Linked DNA regions of Anolis sagrei. The protein of the gene in region 1 purifies or fractionates together with the protein of each later gene. This does not show direct contact. Links are inferred from orthologs where the notes say so. Each region holds a gene or a part of one and is shown in the gene's direction. Other genes may lie near its edges.

Region 1 (8,042 bases):
ACTGAGGGGGAAAAGGAAGGGGCCTGAGGCTGTAAGGAATTATTATTATTATTATTATTATTATTATTATTATTATTATTATCTTTATTTGTACCCCGCTAGCATCTCCCGAAGGACTTGATGCGGCTTACAAAGGCCAAGGCCTCAAAACACAACATAATGATACAAAAACCGAAATCAAATTAAAACAATTAAAGCAATATTAAACAACAAGCAATAAGCAATACACCAAGACACAATAAAACTGGGCCGGGCCAGAGTAATGGGTACAGAATTAAAAGTGCTGATGTGACAGGTGATATGTAAGGATTATAGGGCAAGTGCAGTGTGCAGTGCTCAGCAATCTCAATCCTACTAAAGTGCTTTTGGGACTTATTATGGAGTTTTCCTATTCTGGGAAGGCACATCGGAACAGCCAGGTCTTCAAGTTCTTTCTAAAGACTGCCAATGTAGGGGCGTGTCTAAGATCTTTGGTAAGGGTGTTCCAGAGTCGGGGGGCCACCATAGAAAAGGCCCTGTCTCGCGTCCCCATCAAACACGCCTGCAACGCAGGCAGAATCACGAGCAGGGCCTCTCCGGATGAGCGCAGTGAGTGCGTGGGTTCGTAAACGGAGATGCGGTCATGCAGGTAGGATGGCCCCAAACCGTTTAGGGCTTTGTAGGTAAGCACCTGCACCTTAAACTGGGCTCGGAAAATAAACGGCAGCCAGTGGAGTTCCTTAAACAGGAGGGTTGACCTCTCTCTGTAAGGAGCACCAGTTAACATCCTGGCCGCTGCCCATTGGACCAGTTGGAATTTCTGAGCCGTTTTCAAGGGCAGCCCCACGTAGAGCGCATTACAGTAGTCCAATCTAGAGGTGACCAAGGCATGGATCACTCCGGACAGATCAGCCTTCGCGAGGTAAGGAATGGTGGGAGTTGCAGTCCAAAACACCTGGAGGGCCCAAGCTTGCCCCTGCCTGGTGCAGCTGCCCCCTTATACACCTTATATACAATTTCACAAACAATATGGATAATAATTGCGTGCAGTATCTTGTGTACAGCCCACACAAGAACAACACTGGTCTTTGGATCCATTCTAGATTGAGTCTTGACAGCAAGAAGAACCGGCATCCGAGGACGGATTGGCAATAGCACACCCTTCCGCTTGGCTCCAGAGCTGTAAATCCCACCTCCTGCAAGGCATGCCGGGAGTTGTAGGATTCTGAGCTGCCGCGTGGAGGCAGGCGATAAGCCCTGAAGTTGAGGAGTTGCGTCACTTCCGGGAAGTGCACTTCAAACTTGCTGGGAAACGTAGTTATTTTGAGAGCGGCGAGCGAGAAGGAGAGAGGGCAGATAGGAGTGGGATCATATTGGGAAAGCTTATATATATTAATGATGATGTTAAGTGTTGTTATTAATGATATTTTATTTATTCATCATGGCAGAAGCTAATTGAGAATACAGTTGTAATGTATAAAGAAACCACAAAGTTAAAAACTTGGCATTATACTAAATTTACAATGTATTTTTGAAAGCTTTCATGGCTGGAATCACTAGGTTGTAGGTTTTTGGGGCTATATGGCCATGTTCTAGAAGCATTCTCTCCTGACGTTTCACCCACATCTATGGTAAGTATCCTCAGAGGTTGTGAGGACCTCACAACCTCTGAGGATGCTTGCCATAGATGCAGGCCAAACGTCATAGCATCATAGAATCAAAGAGTTGGAAGAGACCTCGTGGGCCATCCAGTCCAACCCCCTGCCAAGAAGCAGGAATATTGCATTCAAATCACCCCTGACAGATGGCCATCCAGCCTCTGTTTAAAAGCTTCCAAAGAAGGAGCCAACACCACACTCCGGGGCAGAGAGTTCCACTACTGAACGGCTCTCACAGTCAGGAAGTTCTTCCTCGTGTTCAGATGGAATCTCCTCTCTTGTAGTTTGAAGCCATTGTTCCGCGTCCTAGTCTCCAAGAAAGCAGAAAACAAGCTTGCTCCCTCCTCCCTGTGGCTTCCTCTCACATATTTATACATAGCTATCATATCTCCTCTCAGCCTTCTCTTCTTCAGGCTAAACATGCCCAGCTCCTTAAGCTGCTCCTCATAGGGCTTGTTCTCCAGACCCTTGATCATTTTAGTCGCCCTCCTCTTGACACATTCCAGCTTGTCAGAATAAGAGAATTCTTCTAGAACATGGCCATATAGCCCGAAAAACCTACAACAACCCATTTCCTTTGACTAGAAGCTGGCCACTTCGAGTGCCTTTGGTATCGCTGTGGCAAGGTCCTCCATTGTGCATGTGGCAGGGCTCAGATCATATTGTAGTAAGTCGGTGGTTTTCAACCTGTGGGTCCCCAGGTGTATTGGCCTACAACTCCCAGAAATCCCAGCCAGTTTACCAGCTGTTAGGATTTCTGGGAGTTGAAGGCCAAAACATCTGGGGACCCATAGGTTGAAAACCACTGTAGTAAGTGGTCTGTGGTTTGCCCTTCTCTACATTCGCATGTCGTGAACTCCACTTGGTAGCACTATCTCTTAAGATTGGCTCCTTATCTCGTACCAAAATGCAGTTAGTTCAGCACCTTCCAACTCGCCCAGTATCCTGTGTGCCCAGGGGGTGGAAGGGATCTTCTCATTTGGTATTGGCCACTGATTGAGATTCCAAGTTTTAGCCTGCCACTTTTGGATTCTAGCTTGCTGAGATGTTCCTGCGAGTATCTCTAGATCTTAGAAAAATATTTTTTTGATTTATGATGTTGTCCTATTGCAGTGGTTCTCAACCTGGGGTCCCCAGATGTTTTTTGGTAAACTGGCTGGGATTCCTGGGAGTTGTAGGTCAAAACACCTGGGGACCCACAGGTTGAGAACCATTGTCCTATTGCCTGATATTTGAACAGAGGATGTCAATGCCTTGGTCCTTTCATTACAGGCTGCTACTTCCCACCGGATGACAGGTGATGTAATACAGACTAAACAGTATAATTTCTCCAGCGGGGTAGATGTAGGCATACTGTGATAATGCGGCATGTCTCATTAAGAGCCACATCCACTGTTTTAACATAGTGAGATGTATTCCACACTGGGCATGCATACTCAGCATCAGAGTAGCAAAACACAAGGGCTGATGTCTTCACTGTATCTGGTTGTGACCCCCAGGTTGTGCCAGTCAATTTTCGTATGATACTATTTCTGGCACCCACTTTTTGCTTGATATTTTTAAAGTTTATATTGATGTTATCTATGTGTTGTTTTGATTTGTTTTGTTGCTCACTTTGGCATTGAATGTTTGCTGTTTTTTTCTTTTCTTTTCTGGAAGCTGCTGGGGAGATAGGGCAGGTTACAAATACATTATTATTATTATTATTATTATTATTATTATTATCATTATTATTATTATTATTTCCGTGCCTTTTTTGATCATTTTGTTTTGTACTTTATTGTATTTTAACATGTTGGAAGCCACTTTGGCTCCCTTTGTGGGAGAAAAGCAGGATATAATTAAAGATTCATTATTGTTGTTATTTGATACACAACAAGATTGGCACACAGCAAATAACATAACTGCTGGCTTTTGTATTCAATCACACATTGGACACTCCTCAAGTGTCTAGGACTGTGTGAGGTATCGGCGAATAATGTGTGCAGAGCCGAGTAGGGTGGCCTTTTGCAGCTGACAAGATGGTAATTTTGTCAGCGGTGATTGTTTTTAAGCACAGGCCAAGGCCTTTCAGCACTGCACCCAGTGTGCTGATCACCACTGGGACCATTATTATTATTTATATTTCTCATTATGTTCTGTTCTGTTTATCATTTGTCTTAATTTCTAAAGTATTATGTGGTTATTGTTATTTTGTATGGCTTTGCCTTGTCGTAAGCCATTCAGAGTCCCCTACAGGAGAGGGGCTGGATATAAATAAAGATATTATTATTATTATTGATAGAATCATAGAGTTGGAAGAGACCTCGTGGGCCATCCAGTCCAACCCCCTGCCAAGAAGCAGGAATGTTGCATTCAAATCACCCCTGACAGATGGCCATCTAGCCTCTGTTTAAAAACCTCCAAAGAAGGAGCCTCTACCACACTCCGGCGCAGAGATTTCCACTGCTGAATGGCTCTTACAGTTAGGAAGTTCTTCCTCACGTTCAGGTGGAATCTCCTTTCCTGTAGTTTGAAACCATTGTTCCGCGTCCTAGTCTCCAAGGAAGCAGAAAACAAGCTTGCTCCCTCCTCCCTGTGGCTTCCTCTCACATATTTATACATGGCTATCATATCCCCTCTCAGCCTTCTCTTCCTCAGGCTAAACATGCCCAGCTCCTTAACCCGCTCCTCATAGGGCTTGTTCTCCAGACCCTTGATCATTTTAGTCGCCCTCCTCTGGACACATTCCAGCTTGTCAATATCTCTCTTGAATTGTGGTGCCCAGAATTGGACACAATATTCCAGGTGTGGCCTAACCAAAGCAGAATAGAGGGGTAGCATGACTTCCCTAGATCCAGACACTATGCTCCTATTGATGCAGGCCAAAATCCCATTGGCTTTTTTTTTGCCGGTACATCACATTGTTGGCTCATGTTTAACTTGTTGTCCACGAGGACTCCAAGATCTTTTTCACACATACTGCTAAGCGGCTGAGGGGGAAAAAGAAAGGGCCTGAGGCTGTGAGGATTGGTTGTAGTTGAAGTCCAAACACCTGGAAGGCCCAAGTTCGCCCATGCTTGGTCTGTATAAATAGCAAGTGGAGTAGGGCCCCGCCCCTTACGCCGCCGCGCCTGCGTCACTTCCTCCCCCGGCCGGAGCTGGCCCCGCTCTCATTCTCTTTAGTGTTTGCCCTGTGCCTGCCTCCGCCGCCGCCACTCGCTCGCCTCCCCTCCCGCCCTGGACCCCTCCCCGCCCGCCCTGCCCGGAGCCTCCGATGGACTGAGCCGCCCGCCGCCCACACGAGCCGGCCCGGGAGCCGCAGCCCAGAAGAAGCACCAGGTGAGGGAAGGGAGGGAAGAGGCTGGGACGCCCCCCTCCCGTGGCCTCCCCTCGCAGCCCTTCGGGGGAGAAGGAAGAGCAGGAGGAGGAGGAGGAGACCGCGGTTGGGCCTAAGCCCAGGAGGAGGAGGAGGAGGGGTCTGGCGGAGGCTCCTCTCCTCTCCTCTGGTTGAAGGCCGGCCGGTGGGGGCGCCCGACTGCGGAGGAAGACCCCTTCCCCGGGGAACTCCAGCTTCCCGATTATAAATGGCCCCCACGAGAGGCCGAGAGAGTGACACCTTGACTTTTCAGATGGTGAAAGGTTCCCCCCTCCCCATGAGAGGGGGAGACACCCACGAGGGCCTTCCACACAGCCATATAACCCAGAATATCAAGGCAGATAATCCACAATGTCTATTTGGAACTGAGTTATCTGAGGGTCCTTCCGCACAGCCATATAACCCAGAATATCAAGGCAGATAATCCACAATATCTGGTTGGAACTGGGTTATCTGAGAGCCCTTCCACACAGCCATACAACCCAGAATATCAAGGCAGATAATCCACAATATCTGCTTGGAACTGGGTTATTTTAGGGCCCTTCCACACAGCCATATAACTCAGAATATCAAGGCAGATAATCCACAACATCTAGTTTGAATTGGGTTATTAGAAGGCCCTTCCACACAGCCATATAACTCGGAATATCAAGGCAGATAATCCACAATATATGTTTGAATCTGGGTTATTAGAAGGCCCTTCCACACAGCTATATAACTCAGAATATCAAGGCAGATAATCCACAATATCTGCTTGGAACTGGGTTATTTTAGGGCCCTTCCACACAGCCATATAACTCAGAATATCAAGGCAGATAATGCACAATATCTGTTTGTTACTGGGTTAACTGAGGGCCCTTCCACCCAGCCATATAACTCAGAATATCAAGGCAGATAATCCCCAATATCTATTTGGAACTGGGTTATCTCAGGTCCCTTCCACACAGCCATATAACTCAGAATATCAAGGTAGATAATCCACAACATCTAGTTTGAATTGGGTTATCTGAGGGACCTTCCACATAGCCATATAACCCAGAAAATCAAGGCAGATAATTTGCAATATCTGGTTGGAATTGGGTTATCTGAGGGCCCTTCCACACAGCCATATAACCCAGAAAATCAAGGCAGATAATCCACAATACCTATTTGGAACTGGGTTATCTGAGGGCCTTTCCACACAGCCATATAACCCAGAAAATCAAGGCAGATAATCCACAATGCCTATTTGGAACTGGGTTATCTGAGGGCCCTTCCACACAGCCATATAGCCCAGGATATCAAGGCAGAAAATCCCGCAATATCTGCTTTTAACTAGAGCCCCTTCCACACAGCTGAATAAAAACCCACATTATCTGCTTTGAATTGGATTGTATAAGTGTGAACTCAGATAACCCAGTTCTAGAGCAAATATTGTGGGATTTTCTGTCTTGATATTCTGACTGTGGGCCCTTCCACACAGCCCTATATCCCAGAATATCAAGGCAGAAAATCCCACAATATCTGCTTTGAATTGGGTTATTGGAGTCCACACAGATAATGTGAGATTTTCAGCCTTGATATTCTGGGATATAGAACTGTGTGGAAGGGGCCCTAGGGCCTCTTCCACACAGCTGTATAAAATCTACATTGAACTGAATTATATGGTAGTCTGGACTCGGGGCCCTTCCATACAGCCCTATATCCCACAATATCAAGGCAGGAAATCCCACATTATCTGAGTGTGGACTCAGATCACCCGGTTCAAAGCAGATATTGTGGGATTTTCTGCCTTGATATTCTGGGTTATGTAGCTTTGTGGAAGGCCTCCTAGCCTGTGTGCAGGGAGCCACCCTCATGAGTGTCTCAACGTCTAATGTGGGATTTTATTCAGCTGTGTGGAAGGGGGCTTGGCTTAATGTGCAGAATGTTGTTCCAAGAATACGGTGTATGAAACTACCTTCCTACGAAACGTAAACGGGTCCTTGTGTTTGGGCGTGTTGTCTCGTGTGTACATATGCAGGTGTTTCAAAATCTCAGGTCAAAATTACCCTTCCACACAGCTGTATAAAATTCACAGTGAACTTGTTGATATGGCTCAGGCCCCTGGCACTCAGCTGAACAAAATCCCACATTTTCTGCTTTGAACTGGATTATTTGGTAGATATCCCAGTTCAAAGCAGATATTGTGGGATATTCTACCTTGATATTCTGGGTTATATGGCTGTGTGGAAGGGCCCAATGACACTTCTGGCCCCAAGGATTTCAGATCAGGAATACTCCATCTATACAAGGGAAATTTATTTTCTGTTGCCTGTTTGACCTTCTTCTCTACACCTCTCAATTTCTTCTGGGTTTGCAGCTCGCACATCTGTCGCTCCTCATTGCCTCCTCCTCTATAGGCCCTTCCACATAGTCATATAAACCAGAATATCAAGGCAGAAAATCCCACAATATATGCTTTGAACTGGATTATCTGAGTCCACACTGCCATATATTCCTGTTCAAAGCAGATAATGTGGAATTTTATTCAGCTGTGTGGAAGGGGCCTATATCTTCTTTTTTGTGGATTTCCCAGAGACATCTGTGGTTTGGCAGATATGGGGCACAGAGAGACTTATGGTTTGATCCAGGCAGGATTGCTGTTGTGTTATGCATCTGAGGGATAACACTGGTTTACATTATGCTACCAAACTGATTCAGGATGCATCTATGCCAGCCATGGGTAAACTTGGGCCCTCAGGGCATTTTGGACTTCAACTCCTAACAGCTGGTATATGATCTATGCTGTAGAATTCATGTAAAATGCTGTAGAATCAAGGGGGACTGTACTTTTTTTCAAGATCTTTAGCCTTCCATGTCCAAGTGCCAAATTATAATCCCCGTGATTCCATAGCACTGATTTATGGCTGTTAAAGTGGTGTGTAATTGCATTAATTTTACAGTGTAGTGTAGATGCACCCTTAGTCTCGGAGGTGCTGAAAGATCACTTTTCATACTGTTACGTTCCTAGTAATTGAGCATCTCTCTGTGCACGAAAGTACAAAGGGGTGTAACAGTAGGAAAGT
Region 2 (7,851 bases), on another chromosome or scaffold:
GGTGGATCGAGGTGACCACTGATGGGGAAAAGGAATGAGGCGGTCCCTAAGATATAAAGGTCCTTGGCCATTTTGAGCTCTCAATGTCAGGATCAGTATCTTGTAAGAGATCTGTTGTTCTATTGGTAGTCAATGCAGTTGTTGCAGAATCGGTGTAATATGAGATCTTATAGATGATCCTGCTAGCAGCCTGGCTGCCACATTTTGGACCATCCGAATCTTCTGGGTCGTTGACTTCGGAAGGCCAGCATATAAGGCATTGCAATAGTCCAACCTCGTGGTGACTGTTGCGTGGATTACTGTTGTCAATGCTTCTACCGAAAGGTAGGATGCCAATTTCCTTGCCTGGCGAAGATGAAAAAAGCCCTGCTTACTTATGGCAGTGATCTGGGCCTCCATCGTCAGCTATGAGTCCAACACAACCCCAAGGCTTTTAACAGTGGCAGACGGAACCAGAGCTTCCCCATCGAAATCAGGCAGAGACTGGGTTAATTCTGGTGGCTGGCCGGCCAGAGTATCTCAGTTTTTGCAGGATTGACTTTTAGTCTGCTTGCTCGTAGCCAACTCATCACTGCTTCCAAACACAGCTTAAAGTTCTCAGGAATCGCAGTTGTTCCAGGTTCGAGACGCAAGAGTAGCTGGGTATCATCTGCATACTGGTAGCACTCTATGCCAAAGCTCCGCACCAGTCCAGCAAGTGGTCAGATGTAGATGTTAAATAACAGGGGCGAGAGGATAGCACCCTGGGGAACTCCACAGCAAAGGTAGGAGCTTTCAGAGCTTTGGCCTGGCCACTCCACCCTCTGTGTCCAGTCCCGGAGGAATGAATTGAACCAAGCTTTTTCACTTTTAGAACAATGTACTCCTCTGTTCTGGGATTTACCGTTTTTCAACCACACTTGGCACACTGAACTCCCATGAGCAACAGATAATACTGGAAGGGTTTGGTGGGCATTGACCTTTCGTTTCGGAATTGTAGTACACCTACATCCAGAGAACACTGTGGACTCCAGCAATGATGGATCTGGACCACACTTGGCACGAATATGAAAACAGATAGACTTTGGGGAAAATACACCTTAACATTTGGGAGTTGTAGTCCCAGGGATTCAGTGTTCACCTACAATCAAAGAGCATTCTGAACCCCACAAACGACAGAATGGGGGCAAACTTCCCACACAGAACCCTCATGACCAACAGAAAAAACTTTACCCCATCCACTACAACTCCCTTCACCAGGGCAAGATAACGCAATCACAGTCCTCCTGACAAAGAGCCATCCTCCCATACATATGGATAGATGCATCTATCTATATATAAATGCTCTGTGCATAAGGAGTACCTTAAAAACAAAAGAACCAATGAACAAATTCACTCCAAATTTGGCAACAAAAGGTCTCACAACATAAGGAGTGACCATCACTCAAAAAATTATGATTTTGTAATTTGGGAGTTGTAGGTGTTGGGATTTATAGTTCACCCACAATGAAAGCGCATTCTGAACTCCATCAACGATGGAATCGAACCAAATTTGGCACACAGAACTCAAGAAAACGTAATCAAAGTCCTCCTGACAAAGACCAACCAGCCATAGATAGATAGAGATAGATAGATATGATTCACACACACAGAGATATAGTATCGTAGATTTATTTATTTACTTTGCTTGTATACCGCAGTTTCTCAGCCCGTAGGCGACTCAACGCGGTTCACAACAAGAGCAAAAAGTCAATCCAACACATACAATATTTAAAAACCATTAACAGCATAATATACAAATAATGACACATCAATAACAACACATTAGCGTCTCGTAACTAGAATCGTGATCCAAATCGTCATCCATAATACCGTTTCCTATATTCATCATATTCATTGCATTGTTTATCCGAACGCCTGTTCAAACAGCCAGGTTTTTAGTTTTCTTCGAAACACCATTAACGAAGGGGCTGATCTAATGTCCATGGGAAGGGTGTTCCACAGCCGAGGGGCCACCACAGAGAAGGCCCAGTCCCTCATCCCCGCCAGCCGTGCTTGCGATGCAGGCGGGATCGAGAGCAGGGCCTCCCCAGAAGATCTTAGAGTCCTGGTGGGTTCATAGGCAGAGATACGATGTGAAAGATAGATGTGAAAGATCTCGCGCGAATAGGCGACAGAATGAAGGGGGGGGAGTCTACGCGCCTGCGCAGTCGCCCCAACTGACTGGTCTCTCGCTCACTACCTCCCTCCCGTCTGGCGCTATATATCGCAAGAGTTTACAGTGTATCTATCCTTCCTCGTCCTCTCCTCCTCGTAATCTCGTGCGAAGAGGTGACAGAATGGAGGGAGTCGGGAATCGTGCGTCAGTCTGTGCAGTCAGGTGAAAGACAGATGTGAAAGGGACCCCTAAAGAAGGACAATAATATGTTGCATGTTCCAGAGTAGGCAAACCAGACAATCTCCACATCAACACTGACAAAGAAACAAGAAGAAATACTGTTTACCCACAAGCAGAAAGACATTACATATATTAGAAATCAAAAGAACCAATGACTCATTACTTTATTTTCCAGATCACCAAACTGGGCCACAGCAATGCGTGGCAGGGTCAGCTAGTTTTCTACAAAAATGGCCATTACTTCTGTAACCACATGCTCTGCTTGGCGAATGATTGCCGCTCTGCATCCTTTTCAGCTGAATCGCTAATAAACCTCGGTGGCACTTCTTTCAACTTGGTGAGACCTTTTACTGGGAAAAATCAGGGATTGGGTGCTTCTCTGTCTCGCCAGGGAAAAAGAACTCTTTGATGAGTCTAATTGGTTTCTGCCTCCTGGCAAAGACCCCTAATTCCTGCTTTGATTCTATGATTCTATGAAGGGGCCTGAGGCTGTTAGGAATGGTGGGAGTTGGAGTTCAACACTCCTGGAAGGCTCAAGTTGGACCATGCCCTGTGCAGACACTAAAACTCAAAGGGCCACCAGTGCGCATGCGCCTGCTCCTTCCTCCTCGAACTTGGTGGAAGCGCCTCACTCCGCGCTGGGCTGCAGTCCATGCCTGGGCGACAGAGTCTCGCGTTATTTAGCGAACATAGGGATTCTCCCCGATTCTGTCACCTCTTCACGCGAGATTACGCGGAGGGGAAGGCGACGGAGTATATACACTGTGTGTGTCTCGCGATACTTAGAGCCAACGGGAGCGAGAGTGTGAGCGGGTGACCAGGGTTGACCCGGCTTTTAGAGCGACTGCGCAGGCGCGGGCTGGCGGACTCCCCTATTATGTCACCCCGTCGCGCGAGATTACGCGGAGGGGCGTATACATACTGTGAATATACTCTCGCGGTACCGAGCGAGTGAGCCTGACTGCGCAGACGCACGATTCCCTACTCCCTCCATTCTGTCACCTCTTCGCGCGAGATCACGAGGAGGAGAGGACGGGGAAGGATAGACTGTTTTAACTCTCGCGATATATAGCGCCAGACGGGAGGGCGGTAGTGAGCGAGAGACCAGTCGGTTGGGGCGACTGCGCAGGCGCGTAGACCCCCCCTCATTCTGTCGCCTATTCGCGCGAGATTACGAGGAGGACAGGACGAGAAAGGATAGACACTGTGTATACTCTCGCGATACTTAGAGCCAGACGGGAGGTAGTGAGCGGGGAGGGCAGGGAGTATAGACGCTGTGGGTATACTCTCGCGAGACTTAGCGCCAGACGGGAAGTAGGCGTGTAGACTCCCCACTTCATTCTGTCACCTATTCGCGCGAGATTACGGGAGGGAGAGACCAGAGCTAACCCGTCTGTTGCGGCTACTGCGCAGGCGCGTATTCAGACTGCCCCACTCATTCTGTCACCTATTCGCGCGAGATTACGGGGAGGAGAGGACGAGGAAGGATAGATACTGTGTATACTCTCGCGATATTTACCGCCAGACGGGAGGGAGGTAGTGAGCGAGAGACCAGTCAGTTCGGGCGATTACGCAGGCGCGTAGACTCCCCCCCCCTTTCATTCTGTTGCCTATTCGCGCGAGCGGAGGGCAGAGAGTATAGATGCTGTGGGTATACTCTCGCGAGACTTAGCGCCAAACGAGAAGGAGGCGCGTAGACTCCCTCCTTCATTCTGTCACCTATTCGCGCGAGATTACGCGGAAGGGACGGCAGGGAGTATGAACACTGTGGGTATACTATCGCGATACTTAGCGCCAAACGGGAGGGCGTGAGAGATCAGAGCTAACCCATCTGTTGCGGCGACTGCGCAGGCGCGTAGTCAGACTGCCCCACTCATTCTGTCACCTATTCGCGCGAGATTACGGGGAGGAGAGAACGAAGAAGGATAGACACTGTGTATACTCTCGCGATTCTTAGAGCCAGACGGGAGGGAGATAGCGATAGACTTATCTGTTGGGGCGACTGCGCAGGCGCGTAAACTCCCCCCCTCATTCTGTCGCCTATTCGCGCGAGATTACGGGGAGGAGAGGACGAGGAAAGATAGACACTGTGTATGCTCTCGCGATACTTAGAGCCAGACGGGAGGGAGTTAGCGAGAGACTAGTCTGTTGGGGCGACTGCGCACGCGCGTAGACTCCCCCCTCATCCTGTCACCCATTCGCGCGAGATTACGCGGAGGAATATAGACACTGTGGGTATACTCTCGCGAGATTTAGCGCCAGGCGGGAGCGGGAGGGAGTGAGCGACCAGGGTTGACCCGGCTGTTGCGGCGACTGCGCAGGCGCGCGCTGTCCGGCCCCGCCCACCGCCGCTCGCCCGCCATTACGGCCTTCTCCTCCGCCGCCGCCGCCTCACGTGAGGGCGCCAGGCCTTTCATGTGGACACAGCGGCGCTCCGCCTCCTCCTCCTCCTCTTCCTCCTGCTTCCTCGCCGCCGCCCGCCAGCCTCTCTCCGCCCTCCTTCCAGGCCTCGGCCGCGTTTTCCCGCCGCGCTCCCTGGGCCTCCGCGGGCCACGGCGACCACCACGACGCCCAGCCGCGCCGAGGAGGAGGCCAAGAGGAAGGAGCCGCCGCTTCCTCCGCCGCAGCCGCCGCCGCCTCCCGCGCCCCGTCCCGCGCTGCGCCGCCGCCACCTGAGGGACGCCGAGGCCGGGCCCAAGAAGGGCGGCGGGGCGGCCATCACGACGGCGGCGGCAGGGGGGCGGCTAGGCCGCGGGGGCGGAGGGGGCGGCGGCGGGCCCCCTTCCTCCTCCTTCTCCGCCGCCGCCGCTTCCTCCGCCTCCACCGCCGCCGAAGAGGACGACGACGACATGGAGGAGCTCGTGGTCGAGGTGCGCGGCTCCAACGGGGCCTTCTACAAGGTACGCCGCCCCCCCTCCCTTCCTTCCTTCCTTCAAAAAGTCCTTACCGGGAAGCATTAACAAGAAGGCGGGATTGTAGGTTTGTCGGGCTATATGGCCATGTTCTAGAAGCATTCTCTCCTGACGTTTCGCCTCCACCTAGAACAGTGGTTCTCAACCTGGGGGTCGGGACCCCCAGAGGGGTCTCCAAAGACCATGAGAAAACATAGTATTTTCTGAGGGTTCTGTGTGGGAGGTTTGTCCCAATTCTATCGTTGGTGATGTTCAGAATGCTCTTTGGTTTAAGTGGTCCACGCTCCTGTTACATCCTGAATAGACTACTGCAACGCACTCTACGTGAGATTGCCCTTGAAGACTGTTCAGAAACTTCAACTGGTCCAGCGAGCGGCAGCCAGATTGCTCACCGGAGCGACATACAGGGAGCACACCACCCCCCTGCTGTTTCAGCTCCACTGGCTGCCGGTTCAGTTCCGAGCACAATTCAAGGTGCTGGTTTTCCCCTACAAAACCCTGTATGGTTCCGGTCCAGTGTATCTGTCTGAACGTATCTCCCTCTACGTCCCACCCCGGAATTTGAGATCATCTGGGGAAGCTCTGCTCTTGACCCCACCGCTATCCCAAGTGAGGCTGGTGGGGACGAGGAGCAGGGCCTTCTTAGTGGTGGCCCCCCACCTGTGGAACTCACTCCCGGGGGAAATTAGGGCATCAACATCCCTCCTCTCCTTCAGGAGGAAGGTAAAGACGTGGTTATAGGACCAGGCCTTTGGGCAATCTGACAACTAGATAAGGACAACCAGACGAATAGGACTGACAGGACTGACAATTGTGGAATTGGAAATTGAACTATGAGGTAGCGAACACTGACCGTCAATGAGGAGAAATTGGTTTGTATTGGTTTAAAGGTTATAATGCAAGAATTGTTGTTTAATTGTTAATTGATGTTATTTGTTTTATTGCTGTTATGTGATGTGGGCATCGAATTGTGCCTTGCTTTTGTAAGCCGCCCTGAGTCCCCTTCGGGGTGAGAAGGGCGGGGTAGAAGCAACCGAAATAAATAAATAATAAATAAATTATAAATCCCTGCAACTACAACTCCCAAATGTCAAGGCTTACTTTTCCCAAACTCCACTAGTGTTCACATATGGGCATATTGAGCATCTGTGCCAAATTTGGTCCAGATCCATCATTGTTTGTGTTCTTTGGATGTAGGTGAAATACAACTCCCAAACTCAAGGTCTATACCCACCAAATCTTTCCAGTATTGTCTGTTGGTCATGGGAGTTCTGTGTGCCAAGTACAATTCAATCATTGGTGGAGTTCAGAATGCTCTTTGATGGTAGGTGAACTATAAATCCCAGCAACTACAACTCTCAAATGACAAAATCAATCAATCCCCCCTAAACCCACCAGTATTCTAATGTGGCCGTATCAGGTATTTGTGCCAAATTTGGTCCAGAGAATGAAAATACATCCTGCATATCAGATATTTACGTTATGATTCATAACAGTAGCAACATTACACTTACGAAGTAGCAACTAAAATAATTTTATGGTTGGGGGTCACCACAACATGAGGAACTGTATTAAGGGGTCGCGGCATTAGGAAGGTTGAGAAACACTGATCTAGAAGCATTATCTCCTGATGTTTCACCTGCATCTATGGCAAGCATCCTCAGAGGTTGTGAGGTGTGTTGGAAACTACCCTACTGGGGTTTATATACGTGTAGAACAGTGCTCACGGTGGGAGAAAGAGCTCTTGTCTGTTTGATGCTGTTTGTTGGATGCTGCAATTGATCACCTTGATTTTTTTTATTTTCTATATTTATATATTTATTTACAATATTTGTTTACGATATTTGTATACCGCTTTTCTCACCCCGAAGGGGACTCAAAGCAGTTTCCACATAGGTAATGGCAAACATTCGATGCCAGCACAAACTATTACAATTATACAATTACACTTAGACATAAATCAAATTAAAATACATCCATAAACAGTAGAGCAATCATTAAAGCAGTAAAAAAATATATATAATGACCCTCTCAGCCCGCAGGTGACTTTATTCCAGATATATAAACTGCACTTTCTAGTTTCCGACAGATCTCACAACCTCTCAGGATTCCTTCCATAGATGCAGGGAAAACATCAGGAGAGAATGCTTCTAGAACATGGCCATATAGCCCGAAAAATCTATAACAACCCAGTGATTCCAGCCATAAAAGCCTTCAACAATACAAGAAATGGGGGATTTGTAAACTGGGAAACAGATGATGATGATGAATTCTCAGGCCCCTTCCACACCGCTATATAAAATCCAAATTGAAGCGAATTATATCGCAGCGTGGACTCGGTGCCCACTCAGAATTTCAAGGCAGAAAATCCCACAATACCTGCTTTGAACCGAGTCCACACTGCCATATTTTCCAGTTTAAAGCAGAAAATATGGGTTTATCTGAAGGACCCACAGATAGTCCACTTCAAATTCAGATGTAGTGGGATTTTTTTGCTTTGATATTCTGGGAAGGGCCCTCAGGTAATCCACTTCAAAGCAAATGTTGTGGGAAATGGAAGAA
Region 3 (8,214 bases), on another chromosome or scaffold:
AAATTGGGAGGGGGAGCTAATACTACAGAAAAAAGGATCAGGAAGCAAAAGTACCTTAACAGATTAGAAAGCGGATTGGCCAAAACTAACAAAATGCATTTCAACAAGGACAAATGTAGGCTACCACACTTAGGAAAAGATTCAGGATGGGTGATGCCTGGCTCAACAATAGTCCAGGTGAGAAAGATCTTGGAGTCTTCGTGGACAACAAGTTGAACATGAGACAAGAGTGTGATGCAGCAGCTCAAAAAGCCAATGGGATTTTGGGCTACATCCAAAGGAGTCTAGTGTCTAGATCGAGGGAAGTCATGGTGCCTTTGTATTCAGCTTTGGTCAGACCTCTTTACCTGGAATACTGTGTCCAATTCTGGGCACCACAGTTCAAAGCAGATACTGACTCTAAGCTGGAAGGTGTCCAGAGGAAGAGGGCGAGTAAAAGGATCAAAGGTCTGGAGACCATGAATAAACTCTTTGAGGGGCGTCTTAAAGAACTGGGTCTGTTTAGCCTGCAGAAGAAGAGAAGGTTGAGAGGAGATGTGAGAGCTATGTTTACATACATGAAGGGGTGTCATAGGAAAAAGGAGTAGGCCTGTTTTGAGACTGGGACTCAGAGCAATGGGTTCAAACGACAGGAAAGGAGATCCCACTTGAACATTAGGAAGAACTTCCTGACTGTAAGAAGAGCTGTTCAGCAGTGGAACTCTCTGCCTTGGAGTTCAGTGGAAGCTCCTTTCTTGGAGGCTTTTAAACAGAGCCATCTGTTTAAAAGCCATCTGTCAGGGATACTTGGTCACTGTAAATTATCTTGTATCTTAATGCTTTTTATTCATTAGATTTATACTTGTAAGTATGTCTGAAGTGTTATATTATGTATATTTCTTAATTTTGTAAAGTTCTTAATTTTGGTTATGTTTGGGTTGTCACTATAAGTTTATATTGATGTTGCCCGAGTCCCTAAGCCGCCCCGAGTCCCTTTTTGGAAGAAGATGGTGGCGGGATATAAATGAAGTTATTATTATTTGTTTTCAATTTGATTTGTTGCCTGTTTGTTTTTTTGGCATTGAATGTTGGCCAGCTTTGTTAGAAACCGCCCTGAGTCCCCTCAGACAGATAGGGCGGGTTACAAATGAAGTTATTATTATTATTATTATTATTATTATCACTTTGTGTGTTTCCTGCATGGCAAAATGGGGTTGGACTGGATGGCCCATGAGGTCTCTTCCAACTCTAGGATTCTATTTCTCTCTTTCCTTCTCTGGCCTTTCAACAGAGGCTGGGTGGCCATCTGTCGGGGCTGCTTTGATGGTGCTTTTCCTGCCTGGCAGAAGGGGGTTGGAATAGATGGCCCACGAGGACTCTTCCAACTCTACTATTCTAGGATTCTCTCTCTCTCCTTCTCTGGAGGCCTTTCAACAGAGGATGGGTGGCCATCTGTCGGGGCTGTTTTGATGGTGCTTATCCTGCATGGCAGGGGGTTGGACTAGATGGCCCATGGGGTCTTTTCCAACTCTATTATAATTCTATGATTCTCTGGCCACATAGCCCGGAAAACTCACAGCAAGCCAGTGATTCCGGCCATGAAAGTTTTGGACAACACATATGATTGCTGTCCTTTCTTCTTCTCTTTGCAGGGCGGGGGGGGGGGGGGGGCACAGGAAGAGCCAAAGGGGCGGAGCTTGGTGCTACCCCCCCTTCTGCTATCCACCCCCCTCCCTCCCTCCCTCCCTCCCTCCCTCCCTCCCTCCCTCCGCTGGGCCTACCTCCGGGAGGTCATTTTCCCCGCCAGCGTTGTCCTCCGAGGGGGGCCCGGGGGCCTCGCAGGGGGAAAGGCGACGCCCACGAGCCGGGCCAGCCGCGGGAGCCGAGCGGGAGCCAGCCACACACAGGCCAGCGGCGCTGCACCCGCCTCCGCGCGTCATCCCCCGGCGACGCCGCCTCAAGCCCCGCCCACCCCCACCCCCTCCCCCACCCCAACATCCGGGACACTCCCGCCAAACTCAGCCTCTGACTTCGTTGGTTAGGGGGAAAACAGACCCGTGTGCTTTATGTTCTCGTTGGTGTCAGAAGCGAATCGAGAATACAGTGATAATGTATTTAAAAACCACAGACAAAGTTAGAAACTTGGCATTGTCCCAAATGTCCTTTGACCAGGGGCTGCCCACTTGGAGTGCCTCTGGTGTCGCTGTGAGAAGGTCCTCCATTGTGTATGTGGCAGGGCTCAAGCTGCATTGTAGTAGATAGTCTGGATTTGCTCTCCTCCACACTCGCATGTCGTGGACTCCACTTTAGCCCCATTTCTTCAGCTTGGCTCTTATTGTTATATTTATTTACACCCCACTTTATCTCCCCAAAGGGGACTCAAAAGTGGCTTGACATAAAAGCATTGGTATCCAATTGCAAATATACAAACATTAAAACAGAATTAAACACAAACAGCTAAACATTAAAAAAACCAAGATTATGGCAACAAGAATGATTGACAACTGGAAAATAGAGGGAGAAAATGTGGAGGCCGTGACAGAGTTTGTATTCCTAGGCGCAAAGATTACTGCAGATGCAGACTGTGGCCAGGAAATCAGGAGACGCTTACTTCTTGGGAGGAGAGCAATGTCCAGTCTCGATAAAATAGTAAAGAGTAGAGACATCAGACTGGCAACAAAGATCCGCCTAGTCAAAGCCATGGTATTCCCTGTCGTAACCTACGGATGTGAGAGCTGGACCTTAGGGACGGCTGAGCGAAGGAAGATCGATGCTTTTGAGCTGTGGTGTTGGAGGAAAGTTCTGAGAGTGCCTTGGACTGTGAGAAGATCCAACCAGTCCATCCTCCAGGAAATAAAGCCCGGCTGCTCACTGGAGGGAAGGATACTAGAGACAAAGTTGAAGTACTTTGGCCACATCATGAGGAGACAGCAAAGCCTGGAGAAGACAATGATGCTGGGGAAAGTCGAAGGCAAAAGGAAGAGGGGCCGACCAAGGGCAAGATGGATGGATGGCATCCTTGAAGTGACTGGACTGACCTTGAAGGAGCTGGGGGTGGTGACGGCCGACAGGGAGCTCTGGCGTGGACTGGTCCATGAGGTCACGAAGAGTCGGAGACGACTGAACGAATGAACAACAAAAAAAACAAACAGCATTCAAAATTTCAGATCAAAACCATCAAAACATTCAAAGTTAAAAATCATTGCACTTCTTTAAGGTTCTTGATTGGTCTTGATAGGAAATGCCTGCATTTAATGTTTTTATAGCTCAATTGTGTCTCAAACTGGCAGTGAGATACAGAGTTTCATCTATGCTGACGATCGTGCCATCACCACTCAAGCAGGGAGCTTTGAAATGGTTGAACAGAAGCTCTCTGAAGCTCTAGGTGCTCTTACTGTCTATTACAGCGAAATCTGGCTGATTCCTAATCCATCCGAAACGCAGGCATGTGCTTTTCACCTTAAGAAATCCCACTAGAGCATTGCAGCACGCACAAATACCTGGGAGTTACCCTGGACCAAGCTCTGATTCAAAAGAAGCACTGCTTGACTATCAAGCAAAAAGTGGGCTCTAGAAATAATATCATAGGAAAGCTGACTGGCACAACCTGGGGATCACAACCAGACACAGTGAAGACATCTGCCTTTGCAATTCGCTACTCTGCTGCTGAATACGCATGCTCAGCGTGGAATAAATCTCATCACATTAAAACAGTAGATGTGGCACTGGAGAAATTATACTGCTTAGCTGGTGTTGCACCACCTGACATCTGTCGGGAAGTAGCAGCCATTAATGAAAGGACATCTCTGGCCTGTCCTCTGTTCAGACATCAGCCAGCAAGCCAACACCTTATATCAAGAAACAGCTTCCTAAGATCTACTCACAGGAATACCTCAGCAAGCAATAGTCCAAAAGTGGCAGGCTAAAACCTGCAACTTGAATCATTGGTTGAGACTGGGTGAGAGACTCCCTCCTGGGCACATAGAAAACTAGACGACTTGGAAAGTGCTGAACAGGCTGCGCTCTGGCACTACGAGATGCAGCAACAATCTTAAGAAACGGGGCCACAAAGTGGAACCCACAACATGCGAGTGCGGAGGAGAACAAACCACACTGACTATAATGCAGTCTAAGGGCCCTTCCAGGCAGGCCCTATATCCCAGGATCTGATCCCAGGTTTTCTGTTTATCCCAAATGATCTGGCAGTTCGGACTCACGTAATCCGATTTAAGGCAGAAAACCTGGGTTGAGATCCTGGGATATAGGGCCTATCTGGAAGGGCACTTTGTCTGTAGTATTTTACACATTATAAGTGTATTCTCAATTAGCTTCTGACACCTTTAATAACATCAATCGGCTATCGTCCAGAGCGCCATCTGTCGGACGTTCGAGGCTTTCCGGCCAGCGCGCTGACGTCACGTCACTTACTCCCTTTAGTGCCGAGTTCCCGGATGTTGCCTCCTTTTTTGCTCCATCTCGGAAGGTAAGGATGGCGGCGGCGCGGCTCTTCTCCGTTGAATCTCGGTGTTGTTATCCGCGGCCATCCTCCACACAGGAGCGCCGCCCGGGAGGCGGGGAGGCACCGAGAGCTTCGGGGATGTCTAGCGGGAGGCGAGGGGTTGCTATTTTGGGAGTGGAGAGCGGGAAGGCGTCGCCCTGCAGGATAGGCCGCGCTCGGAGCCATTGAGTTTGTCTTTTTAGGGACAGTTTTGCCTTACGGCAGGCATGGTCAAACATGGGCCCATGCCTGCTTTACGGGGTAAACCTGCATTTGAACCTCATCTCTTGCAAAGCTTCCATTTGAACTTCTATATGATAGGCCTGCATTATTTTCGTGTCTTTTAGCCTTAGGCCTGTGTCTTGGAATCCTATATATCTTAGGTGGATGTATCTTCAGATACATGATGCTGGTCATTGACCATGCTTGTAAGCTGCCTGTAGAATCCCATGCAGTTGATCTGCTCAAGCTCCATGCAGGGCAATGGTGGGAGTTGTAGTTTGGGGAGCTGCCAGCCCTTGAAGCCCTGGCCAAGCTACAACTCCCAGCCTTCCCTAGCATTGCACATATAGATGTATATGTAGATTTTATATATGTGTGTGTGTGTGTGTGTGTATATATATATATATAAAATAAAATGTATCATGTAATATGTAATATATATTACATGTAATACACATTCTACATTGTAACATATATGTATATAACATATGTAGATATATAACATATATAATAAATAATACTTTATACAATGCAATGTTACATGTGTATGTAATATATGTAGGTGTGTGTGTATATATTATGTAGCCGCTTTACCTCTCCTTGGAGAGAGAAATAGGGTATAGATAAATACACATATATTTGTATTGCATTGTATATGTTATATTTTTATATACCAGGTCCATGATGTCAGAGATTTGGCTGCAGAAAGAGCCAGACTGGCCCATGGAGTTGGTTGTGCAATGTGGGACCAAGGTTGAAGGGTAACTTTGGGCCAGGCTGCTTTGAATTTTGGACTAAACGTTGCTGTCTTTTGGAGACAGGATACTGATTGTTTACTGCCTGGAGTCCTTAAATGGGGAGAAAAGCAGGATTAAAATGCAATACATCGATATTGAATGGGGCTTATGGAAAATTTTGATTGTACTTTGTTTAGATTTGGCTTCCAACTCCAGCTAAATAAAGACATCTACATTTTGGGGACAAAAAAACCCCCAAGTGCTTCTGGCTCAAGCATTTTGGGAAAGGGGCATTTAAGATGTACTACTTTGAATACATAGGACTAATATTTTCCAAGATAAGGATGCTAGGTTGAACTCTCTAGCATAGATATTTGCAATATACACATTTCCCCCTGCCTCAAACTGACTTGAAGCCTTCAGTCCACAATTGTGTAAGTTCAAAAATGCTTCCCAGGCTGGATCTATGCTGCCCTATATATATTCCAGGATATGATCCCAGGTTATTTGGCAGTGTAGACTCATGATCCATTTGAAAGCAGATAATCTGGGATTGGATGCTGTAGGGCAATGGGGGGAGGGGAGGGGCAGTCCATCCATAGTCACTTTGGGTTTTGTCCCTGTGCATCATTGCGAATTATGTCCTTTAGAAAGTTTCTATGATCAAATCTTCAGCTGTCAGCGATTCTATCTTTTTCCAATATTGTGCATATATACCATTCTTGCTCCAGTTGATGTGTACTGTAATGTTTGGTCACATCTGTATCCAAATTCCCAAATGGTCTTGCTTGAGAGCAGGGGTTAAATGCCATCGGGACATTGTCTTGTACACATTTTCTTTGGGATCTTGATAGAAGATTTCTTTGAGGTCCCTTCCACACAGCCATATAACCCAGAATTTCAAGGCATATAATCCGAGGTTTTATTCAGCTGTGTGGAAGGGGCCTGAGTCCCGACTAACGTGACGGATTGGTCATTGTTTCTGGTGGCCCTCTCTCACTCCCTCTTTGTCCCTCCTTTCTTCCTTGCATTATACAAGTGACTAACATTTTATGATTTACTCAGATGGCAGGCGAGAAGAAAACCAAGCGAGTCCGGAAAGTCCACACCAGCCGCAACCCAGTGCTGGCCCGAGGGATCGGGAAGTACTCCCGCTCGGCCATGTACGCCCGGAAAGCCATGTACAAACGCAAATACAAAGCTCCGGAAACAAAGGTAGAAGAGATGCGGATGTTAAAGCTCTCTGCAGCAGTGCTTCTTTCATGGCCCTGTTTACTTGAGTCAAACACTTGCCTTTTGGGGCGAAATAACCTTGCCAAAATGAGGGTGCGCATGAGATTTGTGCCATATGGTCCTCTTACTGCTGAGCCAAAGACAAAAGGGAAACTGCTTCAGGAGCATCACCCAGAGATCCTTGCCTCTAGCTTAATTGTCATGGCGTAGCCTGGGATTTGTAGTTTGGTGAGGTACCAGCATTCTTTGGAAAGAAGGCCAAAGTACACCCCCATTACTCCTTAGCACTGAAGCAAGGCAACTAAGGTGGATTCATTCTACAGCAGTGTTTCACAACCTGGGGGCCGGGACCCCTGGGGCGGTTGTGAAGGGGGTGTCAAAGTGGTTGCCAAAGACCATCAGAAAGCACAGTATTTTCTGTTGGTCATGGGGGTTCTTTGTGGAAAGTTTGGCCCAATTCGATCGTTGGTGGGGTTCAGAATGCTCTTTGATTGTAGGTGAACTATACATCCCAGCAACTACAACTCTTAAATGTCAAGGTTAATTTTCCCCAACCTCCACCAATGTTCACATTTGGGCATATTGAGTATTTGTGCGAACTTTGGTCCAGCTCTATCATTGTTTGAGTCCACAGTGTTCTCTGGAGATTGGTGAACTACAACTCCAAAGCTCAAGGTCAATGCCCACCAAACCCTTCCAGTATTTTCTGTTGGTCATGGGAGTTCTGTGTGCCAAGTTTGGTTCAATTCCATTGTTGGTGGAGTTCAGAATGCTCTTTGGTTGTAGATGAACTATAAATCCCAGCAATTACAACTCCCAAATGACAAAATCAACTCCCCCCAACCCAACTAGTATTCAAATTTGGGCGAAGCAGGTATTTGTGCCAAATTTGGTCCAGTAAATGAAAATACATCCTGCATTTCAGATATTTACATTACGATTCATAACAGTAGCAAAATTACAATTATGAAGTAGCAACAAAAATAATTTTATGGTTGGTGGTTACCGCAACATGAGGAACTGTATTAAGGGGTTGGGGCATCAGGAAGGTTGAGAAGTACTGTTCTACAGCATAGCTGCACCCCAAGCTTTTCCTTTCCATCACTGGGAGCTATGATGTGTTCTCACACTTTTGTTCTGAAAGAAGGAATTCTAAACAGGTAGCAACTGTAAGGGTGAAATTACAAAGAGGGGACTTTTTGCCGCTGTGCATTCAACAGCAAAAACATTTTGGTTTCAGGGTTTTGAAAATTGATGTGTGCATTACACTTGAGTAAATACAGTATTTGATGTGAAGGAACAAGGGTTTTTTCCCCCCAGTGTGATGAGGATTGGCACTGCATTGATATTAAGCAATGATGACACTTTCCTGGAAAGTGCAGACTAGCAAAGAATGGCTCATGGATTGCGGGTGAGCCACAGACAGTCACTTTGGGTAGAGCAAGGGGACATACTCGCAGCCTAGAAATGTAGAGTGGGCTCAGATGCCCTGTAGTGGTTTCATTGGACTAGGATTTAGGGAGATTGGCTTCAAATCTCTGCTCA
Region 4 (7,734 bases), on another chromosome or scaffold:
CCCCAAAAAGTCCATGTCCATATTGGAAGATGTAAATGAGTCCTTGATTGGTTTAATTGTTCTGATATTGGGCGATGAGGAAGTTTCCTGGGGAAGGTGACAGCGAGGAGCCTTGGGACAAAAGGTGATGATCTTCATTCAGGCTTTGGGTGTCAAATAAAGGGATCCAATATGTGTGACTTCCCCTTTCCACTGTCAGTTCAACTGAAGTGAGTACTGATCAGCAGTTATCAGATGTTGCAGAGGAAACTACTTGTTCTGTACACAGACACAATGGATCATGATTACCACCTTTGTCCAGGACCTGGCCTATCCTGGATGTTCCAGGAAATTCCTCAGTGGGGCTCTTAGAATTATGTAATCTCAGAACTACATTACACAGAATGTCTAATATAAAGCACCTGTGGTCTTCTGTTTTATTTTCTACTGAGTGTGGATAAGGCACCTGACAAGCTGTTATCAGAAAAGTGGTTGCAGATCTTCTTATTGCTTATCGCTAACTGGTTGGAGTAGATGGTCAAATTTAGTTGAGTTTCGTTTTGTACAACAAGGCCTAGAATATCCAGACAATGAAGCCAAAATTGTAGTTACTGGAGGATTCTGGGAGTTGTGGTCCAAAAGGCAACTTACATAAGCTCTGAGCAGATCATCAAGTGTAGCAGAAAAACCCTGCATTACTTAGATGTATTTTTCCTTCCAGTTTCATGCTCTTGCCACCCAGGGCTGCAATCCTTTTTCCTCCCACCAAGGTATAAATCCTGTTTAAATCAGAGCATTTATCTCTGAGTAGATGTGTAGGTTTGTATTGCTAAGGTGTGGTCTACATTTACACCTTTGACAACAAGATTACAACAGTTAAATAATTTATCAGTATATGGATTGCATCTCCTGCAGCAATGCAGTCTTATAACTCCTGACAAGATTAATTTTATTTTAGGAATTATTATTATTATTATTATTATTATTATTATTATTATATACAAATATAGAAACATTAAAACAGAATTAAACACAAACAGTATTTTGAAAAATTAATTAAAACCCATCAAACATATTCCAAGTTAAACATCATAGCATCCTCTGACTTCATCTTCAAATGCCAGTTTGACTAAAAAGGTTTTAGCCTGCCGCCGGAAAGACAGCAGGGAGGAGGCTAGTCTGACTTCCCTAGGAAGAGGGGAGTTCCAGAGTCGAGGGGCAGCCACCAAGAAGGCCTTCTCTCTCATTCCCACCAACCAAGTTGGAGATGGTGGTGGGGCCAAGAGAAGGGCCTTGCTTGAAGATCCCTGGGCCTGGGCAGGTTCATACAAGGGAATGCAGTCAGTCAAATAGCCTGGACCTGAACTGTCTAGGGCTTTAAAGGTCACAACCAGTACTTTGAATTGTGCCCAGTAACAGACTGGCAGCCAGTGGAACTGCTGCAATGGGGAGGGGGGTTTGTCTACTCCCTGCAGCCATTCCCAGTTAGCACCCTGGCTGCAGTTGTTTGGACTAGCTGAAGTTTCCGAGCCTCACATAGAGCACGTTACAGTAATCCAGACGGGATAAAACTAAAGCATGTACCACACCTTGGCTTCTCAAGGAATGGGCACAGTTGGTGCACAAGTTGTAATTTTGGTCAACACAAAAACCTGGGGCTCCAGTTCCAGTTTTGAGTCCAGAAGTATCCCCAAACTGCAGACCTGTGTCTTCAGGGGGAGTGAGACCCCATCCAGCACAGGCTGGATCTCTATTCCCTGGTCTACCTTCCAACTGACAAAAAGCACCTCTGTCTTGTCTGGATTAAGTTTCAGTTTGTTTGCCCTCATCCAGTCCATTACTGATGACAGACACTGGTTTAGGGTCAGGACAGCTTCCTTGGCTTTAGGTGGAAAGGAGTAGTAGAGTTGGGCGTCATCTGCATATAGGTGGCACCATACTTCAAAACCCCGGATGACATCTCCCAGCAATTTCATGTATATGTTTGTGAGGAAGCGTTAATCCCACCGCTTGTCAACAAAATTATGTGAAGAAGCGTTAATGCCACCGCTTGTCAACAAAAATTATGTGAGGAAGCATTAATCTTCTTTAATGCCACCAATATTCTGTGAGGAACCTTCTTTTAGATATCAATTAAACTGCCACCAATATGTTTAGAGACGCTGGTTTATGTCTCTGTTTATCTTTAGTTGTGTTGTGAGGTGACTTTGGTAGTGTGGAATGCACCAAGCATAAAAGCAATGGAGGAGGCAGGTTTGAAATACAAAGAGAACAAGTTTTATTGTCAACAGAACGTAATTGTTGCAGTTTTGAGAATTTGAACTTGGCACAAGGCTTGATGTTACAAAATGGCTGGTTTGAGATACATACAGGCTTCTGATGTTACAATTCTACAAACTCCTTCTTTAGTGAAGTGCTTATACTACTTCAGAGTTCCCTATTGTGAATATCCACACTGTTTGCCCTATACTCGGAACAAACCACTGATCACCAGTCTTTCCTTACTGGCGATCCTTTAAACCCCCTCTGTTAGATTCTTTAACCTAAGCAATCTAACAAGGTAACACCTTCAGCTCTCTTGCTGAAGAAATATTCACAAATTCTAAGAACTACTGAATTCTCACAGCTTCACAACACTCTGAACCTCTTCCCCGGGTCTCATCCACCGGACTGAATATTAACTGACGCTTTCAAACCTTTTATTCCTTAAACTCCGCCCACCTCCTCTGAGGCTGTGTTACCATGGCAACCTATCCCTCACAGTTAGGCCATAGCAACTAATGTAAAACCTAAATACAGTTTAAATACAGTATAATAAACACTCTATAATAAACATTTCTCTACAATGTTGAACAGCATGAAGGACAAAATGGAACAATGAGGAACCCCACAGCACAGCGGCCAGGACCACCTTTTGGGTATGGCACTCCAGGAAGGACCGGAGCCACTGTAAAACCAGCCCCGGCCCATAGAGAGGACCCAGAAGGGTATCATGGTCAATGTATCAAAAGCAGCTGAAAGGTCCAGGAGAACCAACAGGGACACACTCCACCTGTCTAGCTCTCTTTGTAGGTCATCCACCAAGGCGACCAATGCTGTCTCTGTTTTATAGCTAGGCCTGAACGCCTTGGATGGCATTATTTTCCCATTGACTGACCTGGCATTTAGCAGCAGCATTTTCAACCTAGGGGGACAGTCACCCTGCTTATGTAAGGGACCCCAAATCTGAGCTCCTGTTGAAGATCCAATCACAGGAGGCAAACAGACAAAAATGTCTAGGCTCAGGAGAAGAGCAAAAGCAAGGTTTATTCCAGTATGGCCATAAGGAGACGGGTCAGCCGTACTGCACATGCAGGTCACAGTACTTTAAAAAAGGTTGCCGTGTACCACACCCCTTGACCACACATTATATAGGTTTTTCTTATCTATCAAGATTCTACTGCACATGTTTTCTGGGGCAAATTTCAGCCCAGCCCAAGTCTCAACTCTGTTCAGCAAGCCTTATCTTTACACTTAGCTTTTCTATTGCAGAGCACACATTTCCACCCTGCCATTGATGTGTTGCTCCTTCTCTACTGGGAGGGGTACACTTCTTCTTATTATGTTACCAAAGCAAATCTACTATGGGTATCGGCCTCCTTTAGTTATCCAGGTTATTAAATATAGGAGACAATTTGGAAGTAGTATGCATTCTATTTCGCTCCCTCTTTTGTTTGTGTTGAACCTGTTTCCCCCTTCCGCATCTTCTCCTGCTCTGTTTGACCCCACGAATCTAGGGACTTTCTCGCTCCTTAGAAAAACACATCCTTCCTGCACAGGGCAGGCCACCAGAGGATAAAGGCAAATGTTAACTTTTATTAGCCAGGCAGATGTTAACTTGAAGACCACCAAGCAGAGGGACAAGCAACAGTAGCCAAATCTGCTGCTCTTCTCCAAACAGAAGGTATTGACTCTCTTAGCCCTGGCAGACTCCAAGATGGTCCAAAGCAGAAGTTCTCAAACTGTGCAGCCCAAAAGGTTACAGGAATGCTGGGTGTGAAACTCTAATCTTCTGGGCTCAAAATTGTAGAACAAAGTTAAACAAATTCCCCAGGGAGATGTGCTGAACTTTAGAACACAATGCAAAAATATTTTTAAAGGCAATTTATGTGAAATGCTTGCCAAAGTATGCCAGTAACAGAACCATGTTATGCTTTAGGAAGTCTAATCTTATTGCATATCTTAACTGTATTTTAAATTCTTTTGGTTCAGTACTGGAACACATAAAGAAGACTTCTCGTAACTGACAAAGATTAGAAAGATCCTGTTACAGAAGTGCCTAACATTGCCAAACTGAGGAAAGTGTCAGCATCATAGTCATCCCTTAAAGGGGCAGAGATCTCTTTATTTCATCCACTTGGTTTCAGTTAGCCTATTTACTTCACCCTCTGGAGCCCCTGGTGTTCCAATCATGTTTCAGGAGTAATATCTCCTCCCAAAAAATAACTTTATTCAGCCAGCAAAATATTAAGCAATACTTTGCTATAGAAACAAATAAAGCCAGATAGTCTTAATAGCCAGTCTGAACTGGAATCCAGGGTGTGAGCTTATGTAATTCCGGACTTTGTTCTTCTGTGAAATATCCTTTGCTGAGCAATAAAGAGTGTCCAAGAGCACCGAACTGAATCTCCTCTTTAGAAGGGATCTGAATAAGACACCAGTGAGAAGAAAGGATGGCAAAGGAAAAAAGTGGCTTTGCAGAATTTGTAGAGAAGTTCTTAGAGGATGACAAGGATAACGATGATGACCTGCTATTTTCGTACAAAGGAGTCCTGTATCCTAGTCGGCTTTGTAAAGTTGAGACTTTTGAAGCTCTTGAAACCATGGAAGCCAGAAAGGATGATGTCTTGATAGTGGCTTATCCTAAATGTGGTGAGTAGTCTTTTAAGAGGAAATTAATACCTGACCTGCTGATTATTATTTGATGGCAGGTGCCATCTCTTTCCTGCTCAGTTGGAAGTATAGTCAGTCTTCTACATTTTCTGGGCTTAGAGGTGCAAAGGTGGAAAAACTGAATTAAAAATGCATTACTTTTTAACTGAGAGAACATCTCTTTAGAAATGTCTTATTCCTCTAGTGCAACTCTGTGGCCAAATTTGCCATACAGACATACTGGAAGTATGAGATACCTAGAAAGAACATATTAATCTAATATACAAATTCCTGCATATAATCACATAACAGTTGCCTTTGCATCTTAGTTGCACCCCCATGTTCAGGGTGGCAAAATGGGAATTTTAGTATTCTCTGCATAATAGTCATGCTCTTAGTTCACTTGCTCAGGATGTAACTGCCTATGGGACTTCACTCGACTACTGGCCAAGAGAGGCTCTAATGCTGGATTTTTTCCTCCGCTGTATAATAGTTGTATCTCCCTTTTTTAATCCAAAAAGGGATAAAAACGTGTGAAATACGGTAATGGTGAAATACGGTAATCAGATCCACAAATGTAAAACCCACAAATGTAGAGAGACAACTGTACAATGTTGCTTTCTGTTACCAAGGACAAGATCACATTAGAGCTCTACAGATTAGGTCCGTGTTTCCCTCTGAACCAGTTTGCTCCTGCAGAATTCTAGGGAATATAGTTTAGAGCGGAGCCTTTGAAATTCTGAGCTAGAGGTCCTTGGCTTCCCAGAATTCTGCAGAAGCAAACCAGGCAATAGGGAAACACAGGCCTGCAATTTAGAAGTCTCTAATGCAGTGGTTCTCAACTTGTGTGTCCCCAGATGTTTTGGCCTTCAACTCCCAGAAATCCTCACAGCTGGTAAACTGGCTGAGATTTCTGGGAGTTGTAGGTCAAAACACCTGGGAACCCACAGGTTGAGAACCACTGCTCTAATGTGATATCATCAGTAGTTAGACATTCAGGCTGGGTTGCCAGAATCCATGTTTACATCTACAAGCAAAGTTATGCTTGTCAGATGTCTGTAGTAGCCCATTTTGTATCTTTCTAATCCTTCTCCACATCCCACTGATCATCCCCAGGTTATGTAACTAACTAAGCAATACACACCTTCTTGCTCCATGTTCAAGTAACTGGTCATGGGCTGCTAACCTCAAACCTCTTAAAATCATAGAGTTGGAAGACACCAGAGTCATCCAGTCCAACCCCATTCTGTCAGGAAGGAATGCAGAATCAAAGCACCCCCGATTGATGGCCATTCAGTATTTGCTGTAAAACTTCCAGAGGCAGAGACTCCAGCACACTCCCAGGCAGCATGTTCCACTGTGGCAAACAGCTCTTACTGTCAGGAAGTTCTTCCTAATGTTTAGGTGGAACCTTTTTTCCTGCAGTGTAGAATTTTGTGAAATCTGTTTTGATCAATACATGTTTTTTAACACTGGCTCCTATACAAACAATAGCTTCTCTTGCAAACAGTACCTCCAGTTCTTCCTAAAGTTAAGGTGGAACCTTTTTTCCGGCAGTGTAGTATTTTCTGAAATCTGTTTTGATCAATATTGCTTTTTTACACTGGCTCTTATACAAACAATAGCTTCTCTTGTAAACAATACCTCCACTTCAAACAAATGCTGTGCATTTCAGAGCTTCAGAGAGAGTTCAGGCATAAAGCCAAAAGAAAAGTGGCCTCAGGATCATATCCTCAATTGCTTCGTGGTCTTCTTATCTGCTATAAATGCAGCCCAGTGATTTTTGCTTTAAGAATTCGTCATTTCATCCATCAGAATTTGCAATCCTGGGAAAGGATAAAATGGCAAACAATGGTTTACCTCACCTAAGGGGGAAAAACTAGATACACAAAGTATGAGGAGGGAGAATGTCATCCCAAGACTGTTCTTTGCTAATCTGCAAAATGCTAAATGATTGTTAAAATTATTAAAGTCTAGTTATTTTAATATCAATAATTTAGCACAGACGTTGGCACACTGACTGTACTCTTGTCTCTGTGTGTCTTATGTTTTTGGAAGCCATATGGAACTCATTTGCCTTTATGTTGCAGGTACAAATTGGTCATTATATATTTTAAATGATATGGTGGCAGAAATTCACAAGGATATTTCACCCCCGAATAACTTTCAACTGCTTGAGTTTGGACGTCCAGAAAAAATTAAGGTCAGCATGAACTCAAAGTCTTTCTATGAAAGTCAGTGTATATATGACAACTTATTAATGTGCAATTAATTTGTCATCAATGTTGGGAAGGTAGTATTTAATTCACTGCTAGTGTTAATTTATATAAATGATTAGTTTTTAAAGAAACCAAGGGGCTTTCCAAGCACGACATGTTTGTTTGTCAGGGTTGCCCTCTAGTGGCTACTTTTAGTGGGTCCTTCATAGGGGTTTAGTTTTTTAAATTGGTCATTCATTCAGTTTGGCATTTTCCAAATGCACTGGATTACAAATCTGAGAGTCTGATTTATACCAGGGAATGGTGGGAGTTGTACTGCTATGAATTCAGAAATGTTAGATTAGAGTCAGCTTTTCTAAAGCATTGAATCTAGCAATCCAAGCATTTGGGTCTTGTCACTGATCTGCATTTCTCTTCTGTCCACTGCCATTTGTCCATCTGTGCTGAAATGTATCTTGTTGATGCTTCCTTCAAATACAGGTTGAGTATCCCTTATCTGGAATGATTGAGGCCAGGATTGTTTTGGATTTTTTTTCAAATCTTGGAATAGCTGTATTTGCATATATGTCTATAAATTGGACATGAGATCCAAATGTAAACATTTTTGTTTCATAAATGCCTTATG

The links.
Region 2: the proteins of STAU1 (region 1) and FMR1 purify together in Homo sapiens (affinity purification with western blotting; 3 studies listed by BioGRID and IntAct, with this or other methods). This does not show direct contact. The link is inferred for Anolis sagrei from reciprocal best matches to the Homo sapiens genes STAU1 and FMR1.
Region 3: the proteins of STAU1 (region 1) and RPL6 purify together in Homo sapiens (affinity purification with mass spectrometry; 4 studies listed by BioGRID and IntAct, with this or other methods). This does not show direct contact. The link is inferred for Anolis sagrei from reciprocal best matches to the Homo sapiens genes STAU1 and RPL6.
Region 4: the proteins of STAU1 (region 1) and EIF2AK2 purify together in Homo sapiens (affinity purification with mass spectrometry; 4 studies listed by BioGRID and IntAct, with this or other methods). This does not show direct contact. The link is inferred for Anolis sagrei from reciprocal best matches to the Homo sapiens genes STAU1 and EIF2AK2.

What each region holds. Positions count from the first base shown.
Region 1 is NC_090024.1:220,680,239-220,688,280, forward strand, and holds the start of STAU1 (double-stranded RNA-binding protein Staufen homolog 1), read left to right. Parts: upstream 1-4,780; 5' UTR 4,781-4,958; intron 4,959-8,042. UniProt on the Homo sapiens protein: Binds double-stranded RNA (regardless of the sequence) and tubulin.
Region 2 is NC_090030.1:30,074,177-30,082,027, forward strand, and holds the start of FMR1 (fragile X messenger ribonucleoprotein 1), read left to right. Parts: upstream 1-4,180; 5' UTR 4,181-5,226; coding exon 5,227-5,277; intron 5,278-7,851.
Region 3 is NC_090034.1:30,301,093-30,309,306, forward strand, and holds the start of RPL6 (large ribosomal subunit protein eL6), read left to right. Parts: upstream 1-4,699; 5' UTR 4,700-4,714; coding exon 4,715-4,738; intron 4,739-6,501; coding exon 6,502-6,651; intron 6,652-8,214. Other genes in the region: PTPN11 (tyrosine-protein phosphatase non-receptor type 11), read right to left, coding at 1,761-1,774.
Region 4 is NC_090021.1:51,152,938-51,160,671, forward strand, and holds the start of EIF2AK2 (interferon-induced, double-stranded RNA-activated protein kinase), read left to right. Parts: upstream 1-4,214; 5' UTR 4,215-4,691; coding exon 4,692-4,890; intron 4,891-6,980; coding exon 6,981-7,093; intron 7,094-7,734.